4 linked regions of the Saccharomyces cerevisiae S288C genome follow. The gene in region 1 interacts genetically with each later gene. Each region holds a gene or a part of one and is shown on either strand. Other genes may lie near its edges. The genes, in order: RPA34, VPS72, CKB2 and CKB1.

The links.
Region 2: mutations in RPA34 (region 1) and VPS72 together harm fitness more than expected from each alone (negative genetic interaction), as found in Saccharomyces cerevisiae (5 studies listed by BioGRID, with this or other methods).
Region 3: mutations in RPA34 (region 1) and CKB2 together harm fitness more than expected from each alone (negative genetic interaction), as found in Saccharomyces cerevisiae (5 studies listed by BioGRID).
Region 4: mutations in RPA34 (region 1) and CKB1 together harm fitness more than expected from each alone (negative genetic interaction), as found in Saccharomyces cerevisiae (5 studies listed by BioGRID).

Annotation. Positions count from the first base shown.
Region 1 is NC_001142.9:138,334-142,456, reverse strand, and holds RPA34 (DNA-directed RNA polymerase I subunit RPA34), read right to left. Parts: upstream 2,021-4,123; coding exon 1,319-2,020; downstream 1-1,318. Other genes in the region: SMT1 (Smt1p), read left to right, coding at 1-1,038; SCF ubiquitin ligase complex subunit DAS1, read right to left, coding at 3,087-4,123. UniProt on the Saccharomyces cerevisiae protein: DNA-dependent RNA polymerases catalyze the transcription of DNA into RNA using the four ribonucleoside triphosphates as substrates. Component of RNA polymerase I (Pol I) which synthesizes ribosomal RNA precursors.
Region 2 is NC_001136.10:1,423,612-1,429,427, forward strand, and holds VPS72 (Vps72p), read right to left. Parts: upstream 3,597-5,816; coding exon 1,209-3,596; downstream 1-1,208. Other genes in the region: VPS52 (Vps52p), read left to right, coding at 1-1,077; VPS60 (Vps60p), read right to left, coding at 3,820-4,509; 3,4-dihydroxy-2-butanone-4-phosphate synthase RIB3, read right to left, coding at 4,743-5,369; PAC11 (dynein intermediate chain), read right to left, coding at 5,577-5,816. UniProt on the Saccharomyces cerevisiae protein: Participates in the catalytic exchange of histone H2A for the H2A variant HTZ1, an euchromatin-specific factor, leading to chromatin remodeling and changes in transcription of targeted genes. Indirectly involved in vacuolar protein sorting.
Region 3 is NC_001147.6:403,790-407,044, reverse strand, and holds CKB2 (casein kinase 2 regulatory subunit CKB2), read right to left. Parts: upstream 1,278-3,255; coding exon 501-1,277; downstream 1-500. Other genes in the region: HIR2 (Hir2p), read left to right, coding at 1,657-3,255. UniProt on the Saccharomyces cerevisiae protein: Regulatory subunit of casein kinase II/CK2.
Region 4 is NC_001139.9:455,081-459,492, reverse strand, and holds CKB1 (casein kinase 2 regulatory subunit CKB1), read right to left. Parts: upstream 1,338-4,412; coding exon 501-1,337; downstream 1-500. Other genes in the region: J-type chaperone JAC1, read left to right, coding at 1-383; GET complex subunit GET1, read left to right, coding at 1,623-2,330; protein kinase ALK1, read right to left, coding at 2,426-4,412. UniProt on the Saccharomyces cerevisiae protein: Regulatory subunit of casein kinase II/CK2.

The sequences.
Region 1 (4,123 bases):
TTGTTTGAATCTTCTGAAGTTAATGAACAAGGTTCCTTATTGAATCGTTCACGCACTAAAGAAAATAATCTTCAAAATCACCATATAGAGAACATCCTGAGAATACTGAATTCAAATCTACCGGAAGTAGAGTCCAAGAAACAAAAAGTAGCTGTTCATTACGATGTGCTTTTCTCACATTTGAACTCAATAGTTACCCAGGCAACGGATAACAAAAGTTCTTCTTCGAAGGAACTACAAGGTTCATCGTCCGAGGATCTATATGATAGGCTGCTGCTTTTGCAGTATGTGGGCAAGTTAACTAATGTGCGTCAAATAACAGAAATTTTGCTCTCAAAAAAGTTCAACAAATTCGATAAAGTATGGGAGCACAGAGCCTTGTTTGACGAATACCAAAGAGTAGTGATATCCATCCTGTTGTATTATAGAACGCACGATGTGCAAATAAGAAAAGACTACGAGCCTCGTTGGTTGTCCGATTACAGTGATCTACCGTTTCCTCTGCGACGTCTTTTGTGGAGATGTCTAACTTCTAACGTATCTGAAGATAATATTCGTCAAAATATAATTCATTACATTAAGCTTTTAGGCGCAAATTGGAGGAATAACGATTTGATTTTAATTTATCAATCTTTGTATGAAAAGTCACATATATTGCCTGATTTAACGGTCCTGAACCACAATAAAGATGATGGTTTCTCTTTCACCCAAAATCAAATCCTGCTTGTTCGTATTTTAAGGGCTATTTCGAAATGCGTTGAAGAGGAACCAAAATTGGTCAAAAAATGGTTAATTGATATCGTAAAATTGAGTATACAAAGCAAAATAATGCTGGAGTCACCGAAGAAACCGTCCACACCAATAATGGACCAATACAAATTTATTAGATCCTTAGATATTTCTATACGGAGTATCCATCGGACGTGCCAGGATAAACTAATCTTTGAAGATTTACAGGTCAACCTTGGAAGTGTATTAAAGATGATTAATGAAGAAGAACACGAGTTAAAAACACACTTACCATTGAACCTCATATAAGAGAGAACACAGAAAAAGCAGGTTAATAATATTCATATGGCGACTCTAAATCAAGAAAAAAATAATCGTTTGTGTTACACCCGAAATATTGAAATTTCTAATCGTATACACAAATTTAAGTATGCAAAACTAAATAGTAATATTGCCCACACAAAACATTCATCAGTTTCCACCAGCAGAAATGCCTTTTTATATATGTAAATGCGAAAAAAAATCACTGACACACACACAAATGCACATTTTTATCTTATGTTACACACAGTTATACGCACATACGCATTCAATCTCTATGTTTCTTTTTCTTATCCTTTTTATCCTTCTTCTCCCTCTTCTCCCTCTTCTCCTTCTTCTTTTTCTTCTTTTCACTAGACTCCTCTTCATCGTCGTGATGTGAACGCTTCTTTGGTTCTTTCTTATTTTCTTTAACTTCCTCAGCCACATGGAAATCTTCGGCATCATAACCAGTAGCAAAATGCTCCAACTTCAAGCCTTCTACTTTTGGAACATCTTTACGTGGAACTCTTACCTTACTGTAATCAATAGCTGGGATTTTAGCGGTTTCGCTGACAGAAAATACCTTGTCAAACTGTAATGGTGCATTATCCTTGGCAGTGCTAGCAATTTTAAGACTTTCCTTACTTTCCGAAGGAACCAATAAAGTCATATTACTGAGGTTATCCTGTGTTAACGAGGACTCAATATCTGTATCGTCCATGATTTTATAATCGTGTTTATCAATTGTCATGGTTGTAGAGGATTCAAAATCTACAGGCAGAGATTTTAACTTGGAGATGTCCACATTTGATGGGAATTTGATCAGCCAAACCTGTTGCTGTTTCGCTTTTTTTTTGTTATCACCGTTGAGAGGGAAATTCTTTAAATGTTTACATTTCTTGAAACCATCTGGTATGCTGAACTCGTTTGATATCACTTCATCATCAGAGTCTGAATCTGATACGTAATCTTTCGAAAGCTTGGACATATCAATTTTTTGTTAATCCCGTTTATTGAATCCTAGCTGCTCACTGCTCACTCGATCACAGACCTATATGATACCGAATACCCTATAACTTGAGCTATTCAATGCTCATCGATAAAATTTTTCATTTCTTTAATTTCATGTTTGAGAAAAAAAGTTTCGCAACACCCAATAACCACACGCTGCCCTAAGAAAAAACTTTCTCAGGCTGAAAAGAAAATTTTTTTTCATTTTCTAGAGCTTTATGGGCAGAAACAAAATGTATAAATACTGGACAACCTTCTGTAAGGTTATAATAATCTCGACATTCGGTTAATAAGAATTCCCCTACATAAGAACAAACAGCAGTGACTGTAATGTAGTAAGAATGAGAGTAATCCTCCTCTTTCGACTTCAGCATTGCACTCCTTCCCATTTGATACATTCAAGTTTGAATAATCTCAAGAGAAATTTCATGACACTTTTTTAAACAGAAAAGAAGAATTGATTGGCCCTGATGATAATGGTGTCTCTTCTTTCCTCGTCCGATTCGACCATGACGACAAGGGATTTTATCTCGTTCTCTTAATGCGAATGATTTTGAAAAGATGTTGCTTCTGTGACATTTTTTTTTAATCATTTGTGTTTGCAAACGGGAACTTTTCTTGCCAGTGTTATACAACACATGCAGATCTGAGCCTTTATTTTTTCTCATGAGATTATCAAATGTGGGTAATTTGAGGAGACAGATAATATATATAATTTATGATCACGGTGATGAAAGACTGGTTCCTTAACATTCGCAGTTTCCACGGTAGGAGTACGCTTACGAACCCATCGTTAGTACTCTCGGTGACCGCTCTTCTTTAGAGACCTTCCTAGGATGTCTGAGTGATCGTATACTGTAGTATCTTGTGTTTACTTTATCAAACCAGCTTACCAACATTGGAATAGTTGGTTGATTTTTTTCTAGCATCCGAATGGATCTTGTATTTCCTTAATATGAAGTAGACCAGTAATCTGAATCCTGCTAGCTTAAAAAATGCGTTGAATATATATTATTAAATATATATATTTGAAGGGGAGTTGATTACATAACAGTGGCTATTCTTGCAATGGTATCAGAATTATTATTGTTGTTGTTGCTGTCGTTCTCCAGATTCTTGTTCGATTCCTTTGACCATCCATACAGATTACTCTTATAATCATAATGATAAAAGACGGGTTCAAAAATACGTTCATTATTCTCCTCCATAACTATTGTGGGAATGTCATTCAACATCAAGAATCTCAAATGAGGAAAACTTTTCAAAAAAGTAACGTAAATCGACTTGAAGTGATGGATAAGAGCGTGATAACACATAATAATATCTCTTTTGGTCAATGATTCATGAGGAAGTTCCAGGTCAGTGGAAATTGTAGCTGCTGTGTCATCACTACTTGGAGGAATGGCCGCATTAATTTCATCATCATCATCATCGTCATCGATTATTATCATTTCGGGCTCGCTCATATGAGCGGTTGATGTGGAAGTCACGGTGGAGTGTTGATGTGGGTTATTAACGATTTTGGGCACCAACTGGGATTTAGAATTTCTATATTCCAAAAGGTTGCGGTTCATCTTGGTCACAAAATTAGTCAAATTCATTGGTTGTGTTCTAACGCTCGGATAAGCATCACAAGCTTTAGAGTATGGTAACAAAGATAGGTATTTCATCATTTTAAAAATATCCTTTGCAGCAATGTCTTGAAGATCGTGAATATAGTAGTCTTCAGGGAACATGAATATTTTGCCCTTCAGAATGTCACTGAATACTATTTGACAGTTTGTGCAGTTGCATTGCTGATTTAGTTGGAACTTATTTTCTTGAATATTGATGATTTGTGGGATAAGACCGTCGTATCTCAGATCTATGAATTGCAATTTGGAGCAAGCTAAAAGAATGGAGAGAAATATGTGAGGATTTGTGGGTTCAGGTACATACTCCTCTAAGAAATCCATTTTTAGTCTTTTCAAATTGGTTAACGAACTAAAAAGATCTACGAGGATATGAACATCCTGCTTAATAGAAATCAAAGACAAATCTTCCAGGTTCTCAAATTCTTTAAAATCTTTCAGCATTTCTG
Region 2 (5,816 bases), on another chromosome or scaffold:
CAATTTGCATTGGGTAATGGCCTTTCTACAACTTCAGTGAGTGGGTTTAACAATTCACCATCATTGTTTTTCTCAAATTATCTAACTACATCCGCTTCAAATGCTTTCTATAATAAACTCCCTGTAACAGATGAGAAAATTGATAAATACTTTCAGATAAAGAAAAGATTGAACATTTTAACACAAGAAGACAATACGGTAATGGTATCCCAAATTGCAGAAAATAACACAACGAAAAACTACATTGAAATTGGATTTAAAAATTTAAACCTTGCAATTTTAGATAACTGTACGGTGGAGTACCATTTTTTAAAAGATTTCTTCGCTATGAATGGCGATAATTTTGAGGAAATTAATGGTTTATTGGAACAAATATTTCAACCAACTTTTGATGAAGCCACAACATACACTCAACAACTGATCCAATATAATTATGACATTTTTGGTGTATTAATAAGTATTCGTGTGGCCAATCAATTACAATTTGAATCAGAAAGGAGAGGAATACCGTCTATGTTTGATAGTTTCTTGAATGGTCAATTAATTCAATTATGGCCTCGATTTCAGCAATTGGTCGATTTTCAATGCGAGAGCTTACGAAAAGCGGCAATAACTACAAATGTGGCAAAATATGCCGGCAACTCAAGCACATCCAATAGTAGCCCTTTGACCTCACCTCATGAGTTAACTGTACAGTTCGGTAAATTTTTATCAAGCTTCTTGACGTTGGCAATAACACATAAGCAGTCCATAGACGAAAGATCTGAACCCTTATACAATTCCATCATTAGATTAAGAAATGATTTCGAAACAGTCATGACAAAGTGCAGTAAAAAGACGAAATCACCAGAAAGATTTCTGGCTACAAATTACATGTATTTATACAATAACCTACAGCAATTGCATCTACATTTAAATATAAATGACTCGGATGCACAAAACTACAATTTTGATTCTGCTGAAAATGTTGGTACGAAAGTTGCGAATGACGACGATAATGATTCAAGCGTACCACTAATAATCAGAGAGACCGAAAATCATTTCAAAACTTTAGTTGAAGCTTTCACCAGAAATTGATGAATGTAACGATTGTATAAGACATGGAGCGTATAAAGTATATTTTTATGTAAAATGATCTTTATGATTTCTTATTTTGTGTGGAATATAGTCAAATGTTTAACGACCTACCATTATATAGTCTGTCTCAATTAAAATCCTTCAGGAACACCTTTTGCAGGTCTTTGACTTAAATCAAGGTAAATACCGCCGTTTTTGAACCCAAACCACTTGAATCTCACTTGATCGTCACTATCCTCATTTGTCGTTTCATCACGCTTGATATCTGACCTTCCCTCCTCCTTAGAAATAGGATCTTGAATCCGCTGAATAATTTTATAAGCTTCCACATCAGAATAAGGCACACCAGTCCTTGGATCAAAGTACTGACATTCTTTATTTGTGATTAAACATTTTTTTCTTATACCATTGGCTAAGAAGACACCCGTTGGAGGCTGTGTTTTAATTTTGATTTCCAAATCCTTATTTATCTCTGTGTTGATTTGATGGACTATTTTCTTATCGTATTCCCCAAAAGATGGGAAATTTGCCAGAGCTGACAGATCAAGTGATATATCTACGGTAGGAGACGGTACTGAAGACTGAGGAGGTGATGGTAAAATGGAGTGGAAAACAGTTTTCATATCTTGTGGACGCTGAGTGGCGGATAACCCATTTGTGTATGACCATCGATCACCAAATAAGTTTGTGTTAAAATCTTTTAGATTTGGAGGAGCATTAGGAAAATCATAAAGTGTAACAAAGTTCCTTGAGGTTAATTGCTCAGGCCCTTCGTAGGTCTGTGTTGATAAAGAGTTTTCCGCGGAAGATTCATCAACATTAGCTGTATCTTTTTTTGAGGGTGACTCTTCAGTATCGATTATGGCCACTTGCGGATGGTCGGTAAACGTTACTTGTTTCAAGAAAGAAACATCAGTATTGCTTTTGGTCTCTTGTGGTACATTATGAGATAAGTTCTCGATGCCTTCGGTTTTCAGACAAGGTTCAGGCTCTCCTTTTATATCCGTATCCGGAGAGATCAATATAGTATCTTCAGTGCCAGTGGAGTTTGATGGTGTAGGTGTTGCAGAATTATCCCTTTGTGAGACCACTTGGGCAGCAGGTGATGAGTTTTCAAAAGTATTTTCCCTGCTCTCGAGAGCACTTACCATTTCATCTTTAATTTCTTCATTATGTAAATTTTGTATCGGTTCGCCTACATTGGTAATTTTTTGCTCATTAGTTATTATATTCTTTTGTGGTTGGCTGTTGGGAGCTTCATCAACGGTACTCTGCTTGTTTGCAATTGCGTCCAATGTAACATCAGGTAATGCTGTTGGCTTTAATTCGTCTGAATTTACTCTACTCACCGCTGCATCTGGACTCGATTCTCCTTCAACTGTATCGTTAGTAGAAGTTTCCTCAATCCTTTTCTGGTTGTGTACAGATGAAGAATTCTCACCCAAAGAATTCACGTCGCCATCGTTCTTTATCGATTCTTCACTCTCCCGCTTTTTATCATCTGATGCGTCCTGTTTTCCGAGATTTAAATTCTTCTTTGGCTTCCTCGGATATTTTTTCTTCTTCTTATCACGTTTATTCAATTGTTCCTGCCAATATTTACGATCTTCTAACTCCATCGCTGGCGTCATTAGCCAAGCAGTAGATAAAAATTGCAGTATAGTCTCATTTGGCTGGAATTTCTGCTTTTGTCTTTTCTGCAAAGCTAGACGATTCTCCTTTTTCCAAACTTCTTGTTCCTTGAACTTATCCAGTGACAAAATATTCAGCTTCTCAGTCTCCTTGGCAATCCGTAGCCTCTCTTCTTGTGTCAGCATATGCTGAGACTCCTGCTCCTTGTGTTTCCTTATTCTTTCTTGTATAATTTTTCTCTTTTTTTCAGCTTTAGACAATTTCTCATAAACTTTCATCGTGTTTTCCATTACCGATGATCTTTTAGAAGTTCTCCTTGTATTTAATAGTAACGTCTCTGCGTTTAATTGTTCATGGGTATGGTGCGATCTTGGTATAGCTTCTCCTGACTTAGGCTTAGGTTTTTGTTTTTTGATTACAACGGGACCCTTCTGTAATCTCTTGTTTCTTTTCTTTCTTGAAAGTAGTTCTTGTCTTCGTATTTCCTTTTCCTCTGCATCTTCATCATTCTCGTTGCTGGAGTCCTCAGATTCGCTACTGCTGAACATTAAGTCATCGGCTGCTTGCTCACTTGAAGCCTGAGAGGGCTCTTTCCTTATACTTTGAGTCTCATCTTCTTTTTCTTCCCCTTCATCATCGTCATCTTTTGCCATCATTTCGAAATCTTCATCATCTTCATCTTCCTGAAACAACAGCCCTATTTCATCTTCTTCATCATCATTACCATTCTTATAGGAAGAAATTTGTCTTTTGGTAGATTCTATATCTCTTAGCTCCTGCTCCAATAGTTTTTGTAATTTATTACCGGCATTAGACCTCCTAGATCGTGTTTGTATAATAAATTCTGTGTTAGTATCTAGACTTTTATCAGCACCTTCATCACTCATCGTGCACTGTGAATTTGCTTCGGTTTCACTTCTATTTGTATTCATTAGACTACATGGTGCTTTCTGCTTACTGTTTTTTCCATCAGGATTTTTTTAACAAAGAAAAAAGAAAACTACTAAAACCTAAATAAGGTACATATTTTGGCTTACCAGCAAAGAGAATATAAAGAAAAGGGAAAGGAGAGAAAAATTCTGAATATGCAACTTTGTGTGCTTTTTGTTTTCACTGAGCGCTTTCTAAAGCTTTATTTTTGTCTTCAGTATCTAAGTTTGGCTCTTCATCAATAAAAGCCGGTGGCGCATTCGCACCTAGTAAGTAACTGGGCATATCGTTACCTAATGAGTTTTCGCTGGTTGGCAAAGTGAAATCCTCTTGTGCCAGAGCATCCAGCTCTGCATCCAGCTCTGCATCACTAATGTCGTCGAGCTCGCCACTGTTATTATTCATTGCCAAGACTTCTTGCAGCTCATCCCCTTGTTCTATTAAATCCAGCATCTCATCCTGCATGTCCTGTAGTTTGTCGATATTTATCTTGCCGTATTGAGCCTTCATGGCATTGTTTGTTTGCTTTAGTGCGTTTATAGTGATCATTGTGTTCTGTAAGTTATCATTTGTTAACTGGGCTTGCGTCATGGACCAGGATTGAGAATCTAAAGAATCCTTCATATTTTCTAACTGTTTACGTTTATTTAAAATCTTCAAAGCCTGTTTTCTTAACGAGGGTTGCTTGTTGTTTGATCTTTGCAAATTCTTTTGAATATTTTGCAGCTGGAAGTTTAACTGGGCGATTTGAGTATCTAACTGGGATATTCTGTTCGATAGTGATTGTTGGGCCTGATTCATGGACTGATTCGACTCTTGTAAGAGCTGATCATGGCTCTTTTTGTTCCCATATCCGAAAATCCTGTTCATAATTGCCTTGAAGAGTTTATAACTGTGTTTCAACCAATCTTGGCTTCCTCCTATTACTACTTTTTTTAGATGTACTTTTTCTCTTGCTAAAAATCCCATATTTTTGTATGGCTGAAAAACATAGAGGAAGAAAAAGGTCAAAAAACAAAAGATATATACAAAGTTACAAATATATACATGTATATATGTGTGAGTCTGTTGTGATAGAATGAATGGAGAAAATGTTCACCAGATTATTTCTTCAAATATTGGGCCAATTCTTCGATGGAGATCAAAGGAATGCCATGTTTCTTACCAAACGCTTGGCAGTCATTTAATCTCATCATAGTTCCTTGTTCGTCATCGTTAACCAATTCGCCAATAACAGCGACGGGACTTAGTCCACTTAGTTTACACAAATCGACACCGGCCTCAGTGTGGCCTCTTCTCTGCAAAACACCGCCATCAGCGGCTCTCAAGGGACAGATGTGCCCTGGTTTTAAAAATGATTTTGGCGTAGAGGAAGAGTCTGCAAGAGCCCTACAAGTCATCGACCTGTCGTGAGCAGAAATACCTGTGGTAGTGCCTTGGGCTACATCTACAGTTATTGTGTATGCAGTTCCATGCCTGTCGTCATCATTGGATTCAAACTTCATGCCTGTTCTCAGTAGTGGAAGGTCCAACTTATCAGCAATGGCATTCGTCATAGGTGCACAGACGTAGCCTGAGGAATGGCGTACAAGAAAGGCCATTTGTTCAGTGCTGACATTTTCAGCAGCGCAAATAAGATCACCTTCATTTTCACGACCGGCATCGTCCATAACAATTACAAACTTATTCTGCTTGAAGTGTTCTATAGCTTGATCAATTGGTGTAAACATTTTCGACGTTGCCTTTTCTTCTTTTCCTTTCCTTTTTTTTAGCCTTCTGCTTTTTGTTGGAGATATTTACATTCACCTCACATATATACGCCAATGAAAATTTCACAATAGCACGTATATTAATAATAGCCTTGCTTTTTTTTATCAATTCTCGCTAAGAAATTACTCATCAGGCAATAACCTATGCTCACCCGCCTCGAAGCGGCGTTAGGAGATAACAGTGGCCGTGTAGAGGGACGTCTTAGCATCGAAAGCCCAATTTACAACAACGAGGCGACCATCTGCACACCACACTTGACACCGTAGAGTGCGACTATTTTCCCCTCCATTGTTTTTTTCGAGCCAGCGTGCACGTAGTACGGGCCCCCCTAACAACAATGGCGCCCCTATGATAGCTTTCCCTGCTCGCGCGTCCCACAGCCGCACCGTCCAGTCCGTGGAACATGA
Region 3 (3,255 bases), on another chromosome or scaffold:
ACCAAAGAATGAGTAAATCTCCTCTTTTCAGTACTTCCAGATTAGTCTTCAAACAGCTTTTGAGTTTTTAAAATATAAACCGCCTCTTAGTTCATAGGCAGTCTCCACGCGATGCCGCCACTTCTCCAATTTCTTGATAAATAAGGATGCTTCCTACATTCAAAGATTTCAAGCTATTCACTAAAATAACACCAATAATTCGTGGGTAACCACATTTGCAAATTGTTGATATATAACAGGCTAACTTCGGAGCACGCTCTTTTATCTGGTTGTATTATTGCCGTAAGGGGCAATAACGGTATATAAAAATTTAATATTAAATAGGAAAAGTAAAATACGAATGGAGGTAGAAAATAGTAATATTCTAGGAAAGAAAATGCTAGGAGAACAAATGATACCTGATTTTCACAATTTTATGACGAAGTTTCTCCATTATTTTCATTTTCGTTTTCAATTTCGCCTAGGATTTCATTTCGAATTTTTTCTTCTTTCTTTAATAGTTAGGTTTTAAAACCACCACTTTTCGTCAAATCAACATCTTTGGATTCAAGTTTCTCAACTAACTTGAGTCGTTGTAGTTCTTGCCACCTTGTCAGTTGAGCTTGTTTATGTAATTCAAATCCAAATATTTTTGGAACATATCTTTTAGTTGGGTGTTTGGGTACCATATCTGGAAATGCTTGCAAAAACATACCTGGAAAACTTGTTCCAAAGTATGCACCATCAATGGAACTATGTCTCGATGATTTTGGTATATAAAGATCCTCACAAGATGGACAATATAACTTGACACAATCTATACCAGGAATGTCATGCAAACCAACCGGTAACAACTGTTGTAAATTACAATACACACGGGGACATCTTCCAAAGTCCGCCTCTTTGTACTTAGCGTACATTTTTTGCAATCCTTTGATAGTTATAATGTAGCGTGCATGGATGAGACCATACAGCTTCCGGGAATCTGATTCTAATTGTTCTAAACGGGCATGTGTCATATTCTCTAGGATACTATCATCCAAATCATCCACAATATATTGTACCACGTAGGAAAATTTTGAAACTGTCTTTTGCAAGTTCATCAGATTAAAACGATCAGTGATGTACTCAGGATCGACATCACAGAAATATTCATGGCCTTTTCTCCCAAGAAATAAATCGATCCACATATCCACGTATTCCGATGAGTCAGAGTCATCATCCATGAGGACATCATCTTGTTCCACTCTGGAGCCTTCTCTAGTCACTGTTCCCACATTCTCCGATCTACTGCCCATGATCTGCTTTTCTATCAGTTCTCTAAGTCCCTTAATCTTGAATAATTTGAAAAAAGCTAGTATTTCTCAAGTAAAAGATTGATGAAAAAATACAGCAGGAAAATTCCACGTATCTGGAATGACCAACTTCTTTAAGAATGTGATTTACTTATTCTATTTGGTGCTTGTTTTCATTTGATAAAGGATTGCCAATACACCTCCATTTATTCGCTTTCATATTTTTTCTTCCTGGAAGGTCGACAAAAAAAAGCGCGAAAAAAATATCAGTTAATTCGGCTAGAATTATGAAGTCTTCATAAAACAATATACAAAAAGTGCTAAATCGTCCATACAGAGGAATACGCCACGCAGCAAAGGAGTTCCTACACAATCCGGAACAATGAGATTATTAAAGTATCCTTTGGATATTCATAATGAACAAGTGAATGCCTTAGCTGCCCTTGGTCCCTATATCATATTGGCAGGCAGTGGGGGTCACGTGATGGCGTGGAGACAACAACAACTAGTCGATACTGCATTCGATAGGGTTATGATTAAGGATTTAAAGCCAGAAGTTTCTTTCCAGGTGGATCAGGATACTACCGGTGATATTTTTTTCATAACAGGTGATCTCGAAACATTGTATATTGGATCTGAACATCGTCTGTGGGGTTATTCAGGTTGGCTCTGTAGAGATACAAATAACATCAATTCTGTCGAAAAAATGAACAGTAAGCTTCTGTTCGAGTGTAAATCTCCAAGCACAATAACGGATGTGAAATATGACATAAACTTAGGTATCTTATTTGTTCTTTTAAGTAATGAAAATAAGATACTATTATTTCGGCATAAAACCTTTGATAAACTCTCTGAAATAACTATTGACAAGGCGAGCAAACCTATTACAGGCATAATAGATCCTACTGGCCAAACTTTTACTGTTATGACTTCAGATAGATCAATTTTAGTCTATCAAATTAACAAAACGGGTACACACAAACTCATAAATAAACTTACGCAGCATGTACAAATGTATCCATTACATTATAGAATCTCAATGTCACCTCAGGCAGACATTTTACCAGTGATAAACTCGGTGAAAGGTGTGCCGAATAATGCTACCAGCTGTACCGCTTTACTTGACAGAAATAACAACTACAAAGTTACAAAAACACTGGTAACACCTTCTTCAAATGGATGTAGAGTTCTTGTTTATTCTCCAGCATTTTATGAAAAGCCTAATTTGAAAAAGGGCACCAGCACACGCTATAATTTAATCGCCACTTCGGGATCTACAGACGGTACTATTTTGGTTTGGAATACGAAGAGAATGAAACCTTTGTTTAATGCTCTCCAGGTTTCCTCCACCGCAATAAACGATATGTCTTGGTCACAGGATGGGTTCACCTTGTTTGCCATTTCAAACGACGCGACATTGTATACATTCGCATTCCAAGAGAAGGATTTAGGTGTAGCATTGCCTCAAACGGAAATCAAATCGTTACAAGAAGTAAACAAAAAGCTTCCAAAGCTTGAAGAGCCGTTAGCAGAACAAATACCGAAAAGTTTCCCAGAAAACATCAAATTAGAAGAATCTGCAAGCGCAGCACCTATTCCAAACGATATTGGTAGATCTGCCGTGGGCAAGAAACCGACCAAAAAAAAAACGGCTAACAATCAAACTAATGGCATCAAAACTATCCAGAGCACATCAATGGAATTCAACACTCCATCATACACTGTGCCAAGGGATTTGAAGAGAAAGCCAAAAGAGGCAACTCCAAGTAACATTGCCCCTGGCAGCAAAAAGCAGAAAAAAGAGCTACAGCCAATTGACTTTTTAGATACCGGCTTGCTCCTACCCAATACGTCTTTCTCAAGGATTAGACTTGCAACACCGAAAATCAGATCTACATTTAAATACTCTCCAATTAATAATCCGAATTTAATCCTCGATGTTAAGAATGGATCTGGCAATGAACAAAGGCCGACAATTGTC
Region 4 (4,412 bases), on another chromosome or scaffold:
AGTCATCAACTCTTAATCAAGCTTACCATACTCTCAAAGATCCCCTTAGAAGGTCACAATATATGCTAAAACTCTTGCGCAATATCGATTTGACGCAAGAACAGACCTCAAATGAAGTAACTACCAGTGATCCACAGTTACTATTGAAAGTTCTAGACATCCATGATGAATTATCCCAGATGGACGACGAAGCTGGTGTGAAGCTGCTTGAAAAGCAAAACAAGGAAAGAATTCAAGATATTGAAGCCCAGTTGGGACAATGCTACAATGACAAGGATTACGCCGCCGCAGTGAAGTTGACCGTGGAGCTAAAGTACTGGTACAACTTGGCCAAGGCATTCAAAGACTGGGCTCCAGGAAAACAATTGGAAATGAATCACTAAAGTACTCCAAAGTGGTAATAGTAATAATAATAATAGTGGTGATATAAAAACTGAAACAATGTAAATAGGTAAAGTACATATGTATATGGTAGGGCAAAGAGGAAAATAAATCAAGGGTTAAACCGCCGGTGTCTCGAACTCGCATTTGGCAAATTCTTCCCAGTCCTCCTCCGTGGATGGATATTGTCTCAACCACTTCATTCTAGGACCAGATACTGCCTCATCATTTATCCTGAACCCAAAAACTTTCAACTCGTAGGACTCTTTACTTTTCCTTTCCACATACTCTTCCAATTCTTTGAAATGTTTCAAGAACACACCAGGGAAGCTTGTCCCCCAAAATGCACCTTCTAAGCACAGGAATCTAGATGATTGGGGAAGATACAAGTCCTGACAACTGGGACAGTACAACCTTACGGTGTGTTTCCCAACTGTATCGCTCAACCCACAAGGCAGCAACTGCATGCCATTACAATAGTAACGGGGGCACGTTCCAAATTCCTTGTGGTCGAATTTTTCAGCCATTGCTTGCAGGCCTGGCTTGGTCAGAATAAATCTTGCATGTATCAATCCGTATAACTGTTCTGCTGCGTGCTCGATAATACTCTTGTTCACCACTGGCGACTTGTTTCTCCTTTTGCCTTCATCATGACCGTCATTACTCTGCATCTCTTGATCCACTTCGTCTTCTTCCACCACGTCGTCTTCGTCCTCTTCTTCATCACTCATAGCCTCCAAATCCAATATCAAATCCAGAGCTTTCCGGTAGTGGGGTACCTCTTGGGATAACGAGGTCATATTGAAATCATCCTCGATAAACTCTGTCGGGACTTGGCAGAAGTACTCGTGACCAAATCTGGAACAGAACGATGGAATCCACTCGTCATAAGCTCCACTATCCTCGTCGTCTGAGGACCCTGTACGTGAATAGTCTTCCACAAACTCTTGCGACATAGTTTTCTCTCTCTTTTAGCTAATGGTCGCTTCTAAATACCAATTCACCAATTTACAGATTCGGATTAACGTCACTATCGTGTTTTGCACGTACCAACTACCTCCTGTTTTTGTCATTAGACACTTACCAGTTGATGTTTTCACTTTTTCTTTCCTTCCCAAGAGTGAAAAAAAATCACAGAGTAGTGGTATATACAACAATACCTCGGGATAAAAAGACCAGATAAAAGAAAGCAGGACAGTTTGCAATCCTTGAACTACGTCTAGTTGATTGAAATAGGAGAAATGCATTGGGCAGCAGCGGTAGCGATATTCTTTATTGTGGTCACAAAGTTTCTACAGTATACAAACAAATACCACGAGAAATGGATCTCTAAATTTGCACCAGGAAATGAATTATCCAAAAAATACTTAGCCAAGGTCAAAGAACGTCACGAATTAAAAGAATTCAACAACTCTATCTCCGCGCAGGATAATTATGCCAAATGGACTAAGAACAATAGAAAATTGGACTCGTTAGATAAAGAAATAAATAACTTGAAGGACGAAATACAATCAGAAAATAAAGCCTTTCAGGCCCATCTTCACAAACTCAGGTTATTGGCATTGACGGTGCCATTTTTTGTGTTTAAGATTATGTACGGCAAGACACCAGTTTACAAGTTGAGTTCCTCGACTAGCACCTTGTTCCCTACGTTTGTAAGTGGTGTTTGGTCTCAAGGCTGGTTATATGTTCTCTTGCATCCTCTAAGGACTATTTCTCAGAAATGGCATATAATGGAGGGCAAATTTGGTGCTTCCAAGTTTGATGATATGGCTTTACAGAGTGTCTCTTTGGGAATCTGGGTTTGGGCATTGATGAATGTCATCAACGGCGTGGAATTTATCGTTAAGCAATTGTTTTTGACTCCCAAAATGGAAGCACCTGCATCTGTGGAGACTCAAGAGGAGAAAGCCTTGGATGCTGTCGACGATGCCATTATTTTAGATTAGTGTTATTACATTATGTACGTATATATAATATGTTTATGTATTGGAGTATACAATAGAAAGAAAATGAAATATAAATGTCAACATTCCTATTTGTTTTATTTATAAAGTTTTAGTAAATCTCCAGTATTCTTAATGTCCTCCGTCTCCAATCTTTTGAATAACTGCCCCCCTCTTTTATGAACTGCCAAGTTCATTTCCAAATGGTTTATCACCCTTGCCATTTTATCCCTGTTTGCATCATTCTTACCAAGCTTCCTGTCACCAAACTTTAGTAAAACGCGTGACAGGTAATATAACCAATACAAATTTGTCATGGGCTCAAAAGCTGACGCGTCCATGTTCAACAAGATCCGCATACTTTGATAGATTTCAAACTCAAATTGATACTGGTATTCGTTTATTTTACTCTTGTCTTTCCCATTTAGAAAAAAGAGTGGATGATCTAGCCGTAGATATAAAACATCATCTTGAGGAGTTTGCAATCTACTGCATTTAAAATCAATAATTGTTATATTCCCATTACCATCTATCAAAATATTATCCAAAGTAAGATTACGATGTTCAAATTTCAAATTTTTTTCCAACCCATGAATTATACCAGCACAAGACCAAAAAATCTTTAGAATCTGCTTCCAGTTTTTCAGTGAGATTAACGAAATTGGGGTACCGTGATCTTTGAATAGTAAGTACAAATACAACCCCCCATTTGCCTCTTTAACAACAAAACTTTTCAATAGTTGCGGTATGCCATCAAATTTTTGTTGCATGATTTTGAGTTTTTCCAGTTCCTGCAAAGATAAGAACTTTCTATCCCATGTAATGTCATCAATAGTACCGAGAGAAACTTTTTTACAGATTACTTCACCAATTTGCCAAACATTTGATGTTAATTGTATTGATGACAAATGGTTTACATCGTTGATTAAAGGCAATACATCTCCTTTTGCGGGGTTTAAAATTCTCTTTATATCACAATTTAGTAAAATCTGTCTTAGAAGTGTCTCATCATGATCATTTTTGTTCATCGGTAAAGATGATTTAGAATTTAATGAGAGTAATGAGGTCGAATATCTTAATTTGTTCTGAATTTTATCACGGGAAACTTGGTCCGGTACAGGTAACGATATTCGGTGACTCAACGTAGAATTTTTGGAACTGTAGCTACAAGAGTCATCATTGCTGCTATTAGTTGCTGTCGATGGTGCTATCATGGAGGACTTTCCTTTGTTTCTTTTGAATTTTTGTAAGGATGCATGTGAACTTTTGTGCTTCAAACTTGATTGCGAATTCCTTTTCTTCAACACGTTCAAAGATAGACTTGAGGAAGAAGCTTTGTTTTTCAAAGTAATTTCCATGGAAGATATTGTATCGCTGCTTTCAGAATACGTATTTGAACTGAAGATAGTCTTATGGAAATCTGAAAAGGATGTCTTATGTTTTACCATATTTCTTGGTTCAACGGGCGTCATGGAATCACGACGGTTTACTGCAGGAAAGGTTTTTAAAGAATGGTGGTCTGGTTGCAACAATGCAGGTGTCTGGTTCTTATTTCTCTTCCAGAATCTCCATTTAGACGAGCTGGAAGAAGAGACAGTGGAAGAAATCGACGATCTTCTCGAGGACAATGATGCATTATATAGTGGTTGTTGCTGTTGTGGTTGTGAAGTGGGCCTTTTAGAATGATTAACAAGCGGCTTCAATGGTGTCCTAAGTCTGTTTTCCGAACTAGTGGAAGCAATTGATGAATTTTTTTTGCCCATAGTTGGAGGCAGATTTTCCTTACCTTGCGGAATCCCGATCCCAGGTTGTGATATATCATCGTTTATGCCTATCTTGGTAAACAATTGTCTGAGGGAAAGACCAGTGGACGATCTTTTCAAAGAAGAAGAAGCAGAGATAGAGCTATTAGATGCTACCGTATCTAAGCTTGAATAACTCTGCAAGGATTTTCTTTTTTGTTGCAAAACGTTCCTCGATTCCCTGTCCTTATGAGATTCACTGGTAAAGCTTGAAGAAAGTACAGACCATCTTTTCTTAGATTTAGATGATGAAACAGCAGAATGATTGGATAATAGAGACCAT